Cricetulus griseus: one gene and its partner. The protein of the gene in region 1 interacts with the protein of each later gene in a biochemical or structural test. Links are inferred from orthologs where the notes say so. Each region holds a gene or a part of one and is shown on either strand. Other genes may lie near its edges. The genes, in order: Arl2 and Unc119.

The links.
Region 2: the proteins of Arl2 (region 1) and Unc119 form a complex in vitro, tested with the Homo sapiens proteins (2 studies listed by BioGRID and IntAct, with this or other methods). The link is inferred for Cricetulus griseus from reciprocal best matches to the Homo sapiens genes ARL2 and UNC119.

Annotation. Positions count from the first base shown.
Region 1 is NC_048596.1:53,197,902-53,202,471, forward strand, and holds the start of Arl2 (ADP-ribosylation factor-like protein 2), read left to right. Parts: upstream 1-1,510; 5' UTR 1,511-1,648; coding exon 1,649-1,713; intron 1,714-4,149; coding exon 4,150-4,260; intron 4,261-4,433; coding exon 4,434-4,570. UniProt on the Homo sapiens protein: Small GTP-binding protein which cycles between an inactive GDP-bound and an active GTP-bound form, and the rate of cycling is regulated by guanine nucleotide exchange factors (GEF) and GTPase-activating proteins (GAP).
Region 2 is NC_048600.1:91,729,376-91,733,803, forward strand, and holds the start of Unc119 (protein unc-119 homolog A), read left to right. Parts: upstream 1-1,334; 5' UTR 1,335-1,448; coding exon 1,449-1,668; intron 1,669-2,483; exon of another isoform or gene 2,484-2,607; coding exon of another isoform or gene 2,608-2,614; intron 2,615-4,428. UniProt on the Homo sapiens protein: Involved in synaptic functions in photoreceptor cells, the signal transduction in immune cells as a Src family kinase activator, endosome recycling, the uptake of bacteria and endocytosis, protein trafficking in sensory neurons and as lipid-binding chaperone with specificity for a diverse subset of myristoylated proteins.

The DNA of each region.
Region 1 (4,570 bases):
AATAGAAAAAATTAATAAAAGCCTAAAACTTGGACTCCAAAGCCCAAATAGAAAACCTCTTACCTCTCTCTGAGTTCCCAAAAAGGCAGCCCGACAGATAAGGCTAAACAAAGAACTGGGTACAGAGGCCTGAGAACAGATAACACCCTCCAACTGTGTCAACATTTCTCTGTCCTAAAGAAGATCCGATAGTTGTCAATTTGTAGTTGTAAAAGTCCCTGCCTAGGAGATAATTAACAAATTTAAACTTACTTCCTCTACAGCATCCTGCTTAATTGCATCCTGCTTAAACATAGTTATTGTTTCATCCTATGTAACCATAAAATTTTGCAATCTCAAGACATTCATTCATTTGAACCTTCCCTTTAAAAAAACACCCTCAGCAAAAAAAGCGGCACTCAGCCTGTTCCCAAACGGGCAGGGTCCGAGTTGCAAATCGTAAAAAAGAAACCTGTGTTTTTACATCGGTGTGTCGCTTCCTCGGTGATGGATTTTTGGGTTTCCACGATCTGGGCATAACAGTTTCACTATATGTCGCCCTGGCTTAGTCGATATGTAGACTAAGCTGGCCTCATCTACTTGCCTCTGACTTCCAGGTGCCGGGATTAAAAGTGTGTCACCAACCACGCGTTGGTGGCGCATGCCTTTAATCCCAACACTCAGGAGGTAGAGGCAGGAGGATCTCTGTGAGATCGAAGCCAGCCTGGTTTACAGAGCGGGTTCCAGGACAGCCAAGGATACACAGAAAAACCCTGTCTCAAGAAACAAAACAAAACAAAAAAGAACTAAGTCTTGGGCAAAGTCATTTACTGAACGACCTAACTGAACACACCTACTACATGCCAGCAGTGGGCTCCAATGTTTGTTAAGACAGGTTCTCTCTACTTAGCACTGGCTGACCTGGAACTTCTTAGGTACTCCAAATTGGCCTTGAACTCAGAGATCGGCCTGTCTCTTCCTCCCTAGTGCTGGGATTAAAGGCCACCACTACCCGGGTCGCCCGAGCTTCTCAACCTGACAGCTTCCCGGCGATCCTTTGTGCAGGTCTGATCGCTGCATTGCGGGAAGCTTGGAGCTTTAAATGACTATGACTATTGTGTGGTCACTGAAACAACCCAAAGGAGCCCTTACTGCCTGTACATTTCGAAACGGCCCCTAGGGGGCATCGTCACCCTCGACTAAACGCACAGAGCCATTTCCGACAGAGTCCCGGACCAGAATCAACCCGTTCTCACTGGCAGATGTGGATAATGCAAGTCACAAAATGAGCGGGAACCGGGCCATTTTACGGCCCCCGGATGATTGTCAGCCGCCTGTGGAACTAGGTTCGGACTCCTGGCTCAGAATCCCTTCGCGAGTTCTCCCTACCTAAACGAGATACAGCCCGAGATGTCAGCCCCGCGTCCCCGATGGAGGCCTTGGAGTCGGAGGGTTTGCTGATTTTTACCCAGGTCCCCTCCGAACCTCAGAAGCGAAGGGTTAAAGCAGCAGGCAGCAAATTCGCCGCCGCTTCGCTAGAGGGCGACGCCACGCACCCCGGTGATCACGTGGTGTCGAGGGCGGAACCAAGCACCAGACTGGCCAATAGGAGCCTGGAGCGGGGTCCCGGGACTGGAAGAAACGGCGGCCGGGAGGGGGCTACGGGATCATGGGGCTTCTGACCATTCTGAAGAAGATGAAGCAGAAAGAGCGAGAGCTGCGGCTGCTCATGCTGTATCCTCAGAGCGCCCCAGCGGCCGCGAGGGTAGCGGGACCCGCCGGGTGGGCGGAGCCGGGCGCGGGGGCGCGGCCGCCGTGGGTCCCCACCGCCGGTGGTGCGTCACTCACGCGGCGCTACCACTGCTCCGCGCGGGGCCGGGGCGGGCCGTACCACTCTGCGGGGCGGGGGGTTGCGTGCTAACGGCGGCGGTGTGGTCCTGAAGGCCGGCCCTGGACCCGGGTCTCCAGTGCCGTAGGAAGGCGCGCCGCGGTGGTGGTGACCCGGACGTCACGGTGTCTCGGGCTGGCTCGAACGTGGGCCCCGCTCCTCCCCAGCGCTGACCCCCTCCCCTTCGTGTAGGCCCTGGCGATTCCTTCAGGGCTGGAATCCCGGGGCGTGAGGACCGCCTAGGCCCCTGAGGGTAGGCGTGGACTTGGTCCCAGGTTAACTGTCACTCAGGGCCCCGGCCGACCTTCCATTGCATTAAGTAGCACCTGCATCGCCCGCCTTGTGTTGTGTCTGGCACCTGAGCATCTGTGATCCTCAAACTGGCAGGGAGAGAAGAGGTAAATTAATGTGCACTTCCAACGTTACCACCCGTGCCAGTTGTAGACAGTTTGAGAAAGACAGTCATTAGATTACTATTTATTGATTACTACTTATTTAGAGAATGCCGTGAAACAGGGAAACGAAAAAGCCTTCCTTGTGGATAATGGAAGAGGAGAAAGAAGTTGTAAAGCAAATAAATAAAATGTGTAGTTTGGGTTGAGAAGAACGTAGTCCGGAGTGGTCAAAGACCGTGCCAAGATAAGAAGTACTGGGCAAAGACTTGAGGAAGGTATTGATGTCTGGGGATGACCTCCAAGTGCAAAGGACCTGGGGGAGGATAAGACTACCATGTTCGAGGGAAGTCAAAGAGTGAAGAGTGACTACAGAGAGGGAGGAGACCTCATGGGCTGGGACCATTTAGGCCACAGGATGGTGGCTTGGAGCAGGATGGAGGAAGGGAGTAGTGGGTAGTAGTGCTGGTAGGACTTGCTGCTACACTGGAGGAAAATGTGAGGGAGAAGGGGAAGCCACGCCGGAATCCCTGGTTTCTGGCCACTTGCTAATACTGGAGAGGAGCAGGTCCTGACTCTGTTTGGGCAGGTGGGTGTTGGAAGGGTTGGGATAATCAGTGGCCGGCTTTCCAAGAGTAAAGTTGGACTGCTGATGAGAGGTAATCTGCTCACCCCCTCTCACAAAAGAGGGTTGTTATGTTTTATTTAAAAGGAGGAAAAGAGAAAGCTGCAAGATGAGACATGTTAACTAGTTTATTATATGGCCCGGCAGACTAAAAGAGAAGAGGAACAGGGGTAATGGCTGACCGCCATGGCCGGTCGCCATAGAGGCAGAGAGAGCTCGTAGGTGGGAGAAGAGAAGAGCAGAGAAGGAGTGAGCAAAGAGAGAGCGGCGTAAAGAGAGAAAGCAGAGAGACAGCGCGAAGCAGGAAAGTTGGAGCTTTTAAAGGGAAGACTGCGAGTGGGCACTGAGGTTCCAGGCATGCCCAGAGTCCTCATGCGTGGCGGGTGACATGGTGATGACTTAGCGCGTTTTCTAGTGCGTGCCCTGACCTTTCAAGGGTCACTGGGCCTGCAGGTGAGCAGGAAGAGGGTCTAAATGCAGAGCTTGCCCCTTCCCTCCCACCCCTCAATTCAGACTGTGGTCACCCCAAGTTCCCACGTGCCGTTGAGCTCACCCAGTGGTTTGTTCTCTGCAGCAGAGGCTGTGGATCATTCTAGAAACAGATGAAGGTGGTTGCCACCTCTAGATACTTGCGCCTTACTTGGTCCCTCAGAGGACTGGGCGCATCTATATTGGGTCTCAAGACCCCACCGAGCCTTATCTGATGCCTAAGTTGAAAGCCATTCCTTTCAGGAATGTCTCACAGGTTTCAGGGATCCCAGATACCCAACTTTGTCTGCTTTATTTAGTCTTTAATTTTTTTTCTTACACTTTATATGTGTAAGTATTTTACCTGTATATATGTATGTGTACTATGTTGAGCACCCGGTGCCCATAGCGGTCAGGGTTTGGTTGTGAACCACCATGTGGGTGGGTGTTGGGAACTGAACTCAAGTCCTCTGCAAGACCTGATGAGCCACCTCTCCAGCCCCATTATTTAGGTTTTTTGTTTTTTTGTTTTTTGTTTTTTTGCTAGTGTTTAAGTGTCATAAGGGTGAAGACTTTGTCCACCAACACCTGAGGAGGCCTGGCACATAATAGGCACTTAATATTTGTTGCTAACCAAAGTTACTTTAAGTTGGCCGAGATGATAATTACCTCAAACCACTTATGGGTCAGGCATGTGCTCCACTTGTTTCAATATACAGTAGTCCCTAAGAGTTTGGTAGTATGATGACATGTCCTCCAGCAGAGCTCAGAGACTTCTCCTTAGCTCTGTGTCCCAGTGGCTTGGACAATGCTGGCAAAACCACCATCCTCAAGAAGTTCAATGGGGAAGACGTGGACACCATCTCCCCAACACTGGGCTTCAACATCAAAACCCTGGAGCACCGGGGGTGAGTAGTGTCACTGAGGGGGAGCCACTGAGGGCCACTGTGTGGGGGCCAGGGGTGAGTAGGACCACTGAGGGCCACTGTGAGCACCGGGGGTGAGTAGGGCCACTGGGGGGGGGGGGGGGAAGGCACAGTGGGCAGGACCAGCCTGACCTTCATTGTCCCTTCCTTCCCAGATTCAAACTGAACATCTGGGATGTGGGTGGCCAGAAGTCTCTACGCTCCTACTGGCGGAACTACTTTGAGAGCACAGATGGCCTCATCTGGGTTGTGGACAGCGCCGACCGCCAGCGCATGCAGGACTGTCAGCGTG
Region 2 (4,428 bases), on another chromosome or scaffold:
AGGTTTGATGGTTTGTCTTCATTCTTCTCTGTTGGCTCTCCACCAACCAAAGGATGATGCTCAACGATGGACTCATCCTCCCTTCCCTCCCTATCCCACTGGCTTGAACTTAAAGGCCTTTGCCTGTCTACCCCTGGGCAGTGGCACCTTGTCCTTCCAGCCTGTCAGCACAGCATACTATGGCACTGAGGGGTCGATTTAGGGGAAATCCTTGGGTTAAATTGTAGCCCCCTCCTCTCCACTTCTAAGACTTTCTCCCTCCTTCCTCTCCTTCCTGACTGGTATCACCCATTGGGTACAGCCTAGCCTGGTCTAGGAGGCAGTGGCTTAGGAACTGGTTCCCCTCTACCCTTTCAGAGAGGCAGTGTGGTATAGGAGGAAACACTTCTGACTTAGAATCCAATAGGCCTGGATTGGACCCCTGCTGCACTGAGGTACTGGAGAGCTTTAGATAAGCAGCGCTTCTCACTGAGCCACAGGTTTTCATCTGTCGGAAAGCATTAATGACGTCACTCTCAGAAGGGCATTGGATTAAATGTGATAAGCATATAAAAGTGTTGTGTATATTGGGCTCTTTAAAAATATGTATTAGGTTGTTAATAAACATTGGTTGAATATGAGTTGATATGACATATCATTATTTTCACTCATGTGTGAGAAGCAGTCTGATCTGCCCTGAGCTCACAGGTCTTCCATGTCCCACCTGACTGTGGAGTCTGGGAATGGCTAGACACCTGGGCTGTGATATTTGCATGTTGTAGGGTGCCTAAAGCTGTGAATATATGCTTCTGCTTTTGAGCAGGAATTCTAGGGAGGAATAGCTTGAGCCAGTGACAGCCCTGGGATATTAACTCATCAGTTCAACAAAGGGAAATCCTGGGTACTGGCTGCCAGGAGCACTGTGCTAGCACTGGGATGTTATAGAGAACAGAGTATAGAGTATGGTTGCTTTCATAGATCTGACCTTTGAGGAGCAAAGGTCAGGGCACAAATACAAATAATTTTGCCTAATGCATTAGAAAAAAAAACAACAGGCTGGTTAGCTGGAAACTGAGAGGAAGTACTTTAGAACTGGGTGGGTGTGGGAGGTTGAGACTTGAACTGGAATCAGTTCAAGGATGGAGCTATCAGGGAAAGACCTTGAGGCTGGAACCCAGAGAGAAAGAGAGGTATTCAGTATACCTTACATTGTCCAAAAGAACCGTGAAGTTCAAGAGGACCCCAGGATCCTGACTCTACCGGAGGGGGTGGGGGGGGCGGAGGGGGGGAGATGCCAGTCGGTGGGCGGGGCATGCATGACGCGCCCGCTATGGGCGTGGACAAGGCGGGACGGCACCTGGGGCCCGACCGGGGGTGGGGCGGCGGACTCTTCCCCCTTCCCCCGACTCCAGCCAGCTCAGGCAGCAGACGCGGTAGCAGCAGGCGAGGATCCGCCGCCCCGCGAGGCCATGAAGGTGAAGAAGGGCGGCGGCGGGACCGGGACGGGGGCGGAGCCCGCTCCAGGGGCCTCGAACCGGAGTGTGGAACCCACGCGGGAGCCTAGGGCAGAATCCGAGTCCGGGTCCGAGTCGGAGCCAGAACCAGGCCCGGGGCCCAGGGTGGGACCGCTGCAGGGCAAGCAGCCCATCGGGCCGGACGACGTGCTGGGGCTGCAGCGGATTACGGGCGGTGAGCACCGGCAAGGGAGCGCCACCCGCGGGCTGGAGGGAGAGCTCGGGAGGGGGCCCACGAGGCTCAGAGTCCGGCCCCCGCGCTCACCCTTCCCCCACGCAGTGCCCCTCCTCTGTGTCCCTTTACTCTCCCTTTGCCTCCAAGCCTGAGATTTCTGTTATTTTCCTTGGTGTCTTGGTGCGCCCCTCCTCTACATGTAGTAGGGCTTATTTTCACCTCCCTCCTTCCTTTTCAAGGGGCCCACCCCTTTTCCCATGGTAGAGGTGGGGCAGCAGTTGCATCTGAACCCTTTCCCCTGTGGACTCTTTGAAGCTGGTCACAGAGGAGTGTGCCGGACTGGCAGTCTCTTAAGCACCTATCCTCTGGCGAGGTGGAGTCGAGGAATACCTCCAGGGTCCCTCACCCTGCTTCCCCATTAGGGCTAGCGCCATACTCTTCCCAGGAACGTTACTGATCGGGTGCTTCAGTCTGTTGGCTTGTGGGCTGTGTCATGGAAACAAGTGTGTGATCCCAAGCCTGGACTGGCTGGTACTTGTTTTTTTAACCAGGGCTCTCTCATCAATGGAAGCCCATTTTCCACTGGAGCTGTTTCCAAGCTGTGCTGCCTGGACTAGAGTCCCACTTTTGCCCCATAATTGGTTGTGTGACCTTGGGGATGTAATTTCATTTCCAGAGGCATGTTTTTTCATCTGTAAAATGGGAACAATGTTACCTCCCTCAAGGTTATTGTGAAATAAAGCCTGTCTCCTGCTTTTCGACAATGCTTGGCATGCTATGCATGCTATGTCAACAGGGCTTTTTTATCAACACAGGACTTGGTTCAGAGCAGCTGTCTGCAGGCAGATAAGTGAGCATTCAGGGCAGAGGCAGGCGTCACTACAGATGGTGAACAGGACTAGAGAGTCTTCTGGCAGAAGGTTGGCTGAGCCTTGAGGAATGGAAGGTATTTGGAGAGAAAGTGGCACACTGCCTTGGAATGGGTGGGTCACCAGCAACCTGCTCCAGCTCCCTTTGTGAGCTAGCAGTCCCTTTCTATGGGATGGACACAAGTGCTAGAGTGGAACCTAAAGCCTGGATGGATCTGCAGGAGCAGCAGAGCTGAGGGCTCCCAGACAGCTGTGGAGACCAGGATGGCAGGCCTGAGCTTGTGCATCTGGGTCCCTAGGGGCCTCCCTCCTCCGTTCAGAGCTAGGCAGCAGCGGCAGATTCTTGGCTAGACCTCCCTTGGACAAGCAGGCATCAGTGGAGGGGGGAGGGGCCTGGACCAGGCTGGTGTGGAAGCCAGTGGGCTGCATTTTGTAACAGCAGCCCATACAGTTCAATTTAGCCCTATGGGTGGGGGGCAGGATCACCTGCCTCACTCCTGGATAACTGAAGGCTTATTTTGCAACGAAGGAAGCCTCCAGGTGAAGTCACAGCATGGGTCTCCCAGTCTGGAGGGAATTCATAGCTTGTAGAGGTTGAGCAAGGACAAGTGCCTTGTGAGAGCCCTTTCCTGTGTGGGATTTGAAAACAGGGTTCCAGGCCTCTCCACCTTGCCTGCTATCTTCTGACCCTAATCACATAGGTCTGAGGTTTGCTGTTCCTGGATTACCAGGCCCTGAATCCGGCTTAGGGAGCTATTTGTGGCTACAGGGAGAGCAATTGGCTTCTGAGCCATTACTCTGGACTGACCTTGGGTCCTAGGCCTCTTGTTTTGCAGAGGGGAGAGAGTGGCTGCAGTGTCCTGAGCCCTAGGCAGCCCCTGACCCTCACTCCCTGCTAGGGCAGAGGGGCTGACAGATTGAGTTTTCAGTGTAAGAGACTAAGGTCTGGGTGTGAGAAGTTGTTCCCAGGGAGAGGAGAGGCTCCCAAGCTGGACACAGGGTAAAAAGGGAGGTTTTTCCTGGGAGTTGGGCAGCTAGGATCCTGCTTCCAGGTTCTGCCCACCCTCCCTTCCCTCTGCAGCATCTTCTATAGCTGTGGGGCAGACCTTACTGAGCTGTGATGGATAGGTCAGAGCTCAGCACCCTCTAAAATTTTATATAGTTTCTGCCAAGCTCCAAGGTGCTAGAGGGCTGTCAGGAGGGCTTCCTGGAGGGGGCTGCCCTAGGGAAGAGAGAATGACTTTGTATTCACTTCCTCTTCCAACCACAAGAGGAATAGGAGGTGGCCCAGGGGTGACTTCCGGCCTCTGTAGGTCAGCAGGGAGGATGTGGTACCTTAACAGCACCCAAGCCTCCCTAGCATTTTCTGCTCCTTCCTGTTTCTTGCCAGGGCTTCCCCTAGGACTTGCTATTGCTGCCATGAGAACAGTAAGTTGTATGAAGCAGGAAGAACAGGAGTTCAAGGCTAGCATCTGCCACCTAGTGGGTTTGAGGGTTAGCCTAGGCTACATGAGACCCCCGGCTTAGGAATAGCAACAACTGAAGAGAGGTTAGGGTCAGACCATGAACTCCCTAGGCAATGCCTAGCTTTCCTGGTTTCCTTCTGAGCCCAGGACTCTCCTTGCCTCATTCATATCCTGCTGCTCCAACCACACTCTCTTCTGGCTTGGCCAGAGAGCACTTTATCCCTGAAGGTGGCTCGAGGCCAAGGCTGGAAAAATGACCTCTAAGGATTCCCTCTGTTTGCTAAGATGTCCTCCCATTGGGAGAGCAGCAGAGGATCTGTTGAGCAAAGTTGGCCTCTTCTTCCCCAGTAGCCTGGCTCTGAGCTTAGTCAGCAGAGCTAGCATAAGCTGCTTATGTGGGAGGAGGGCGGGGAGCAAGAGAATAG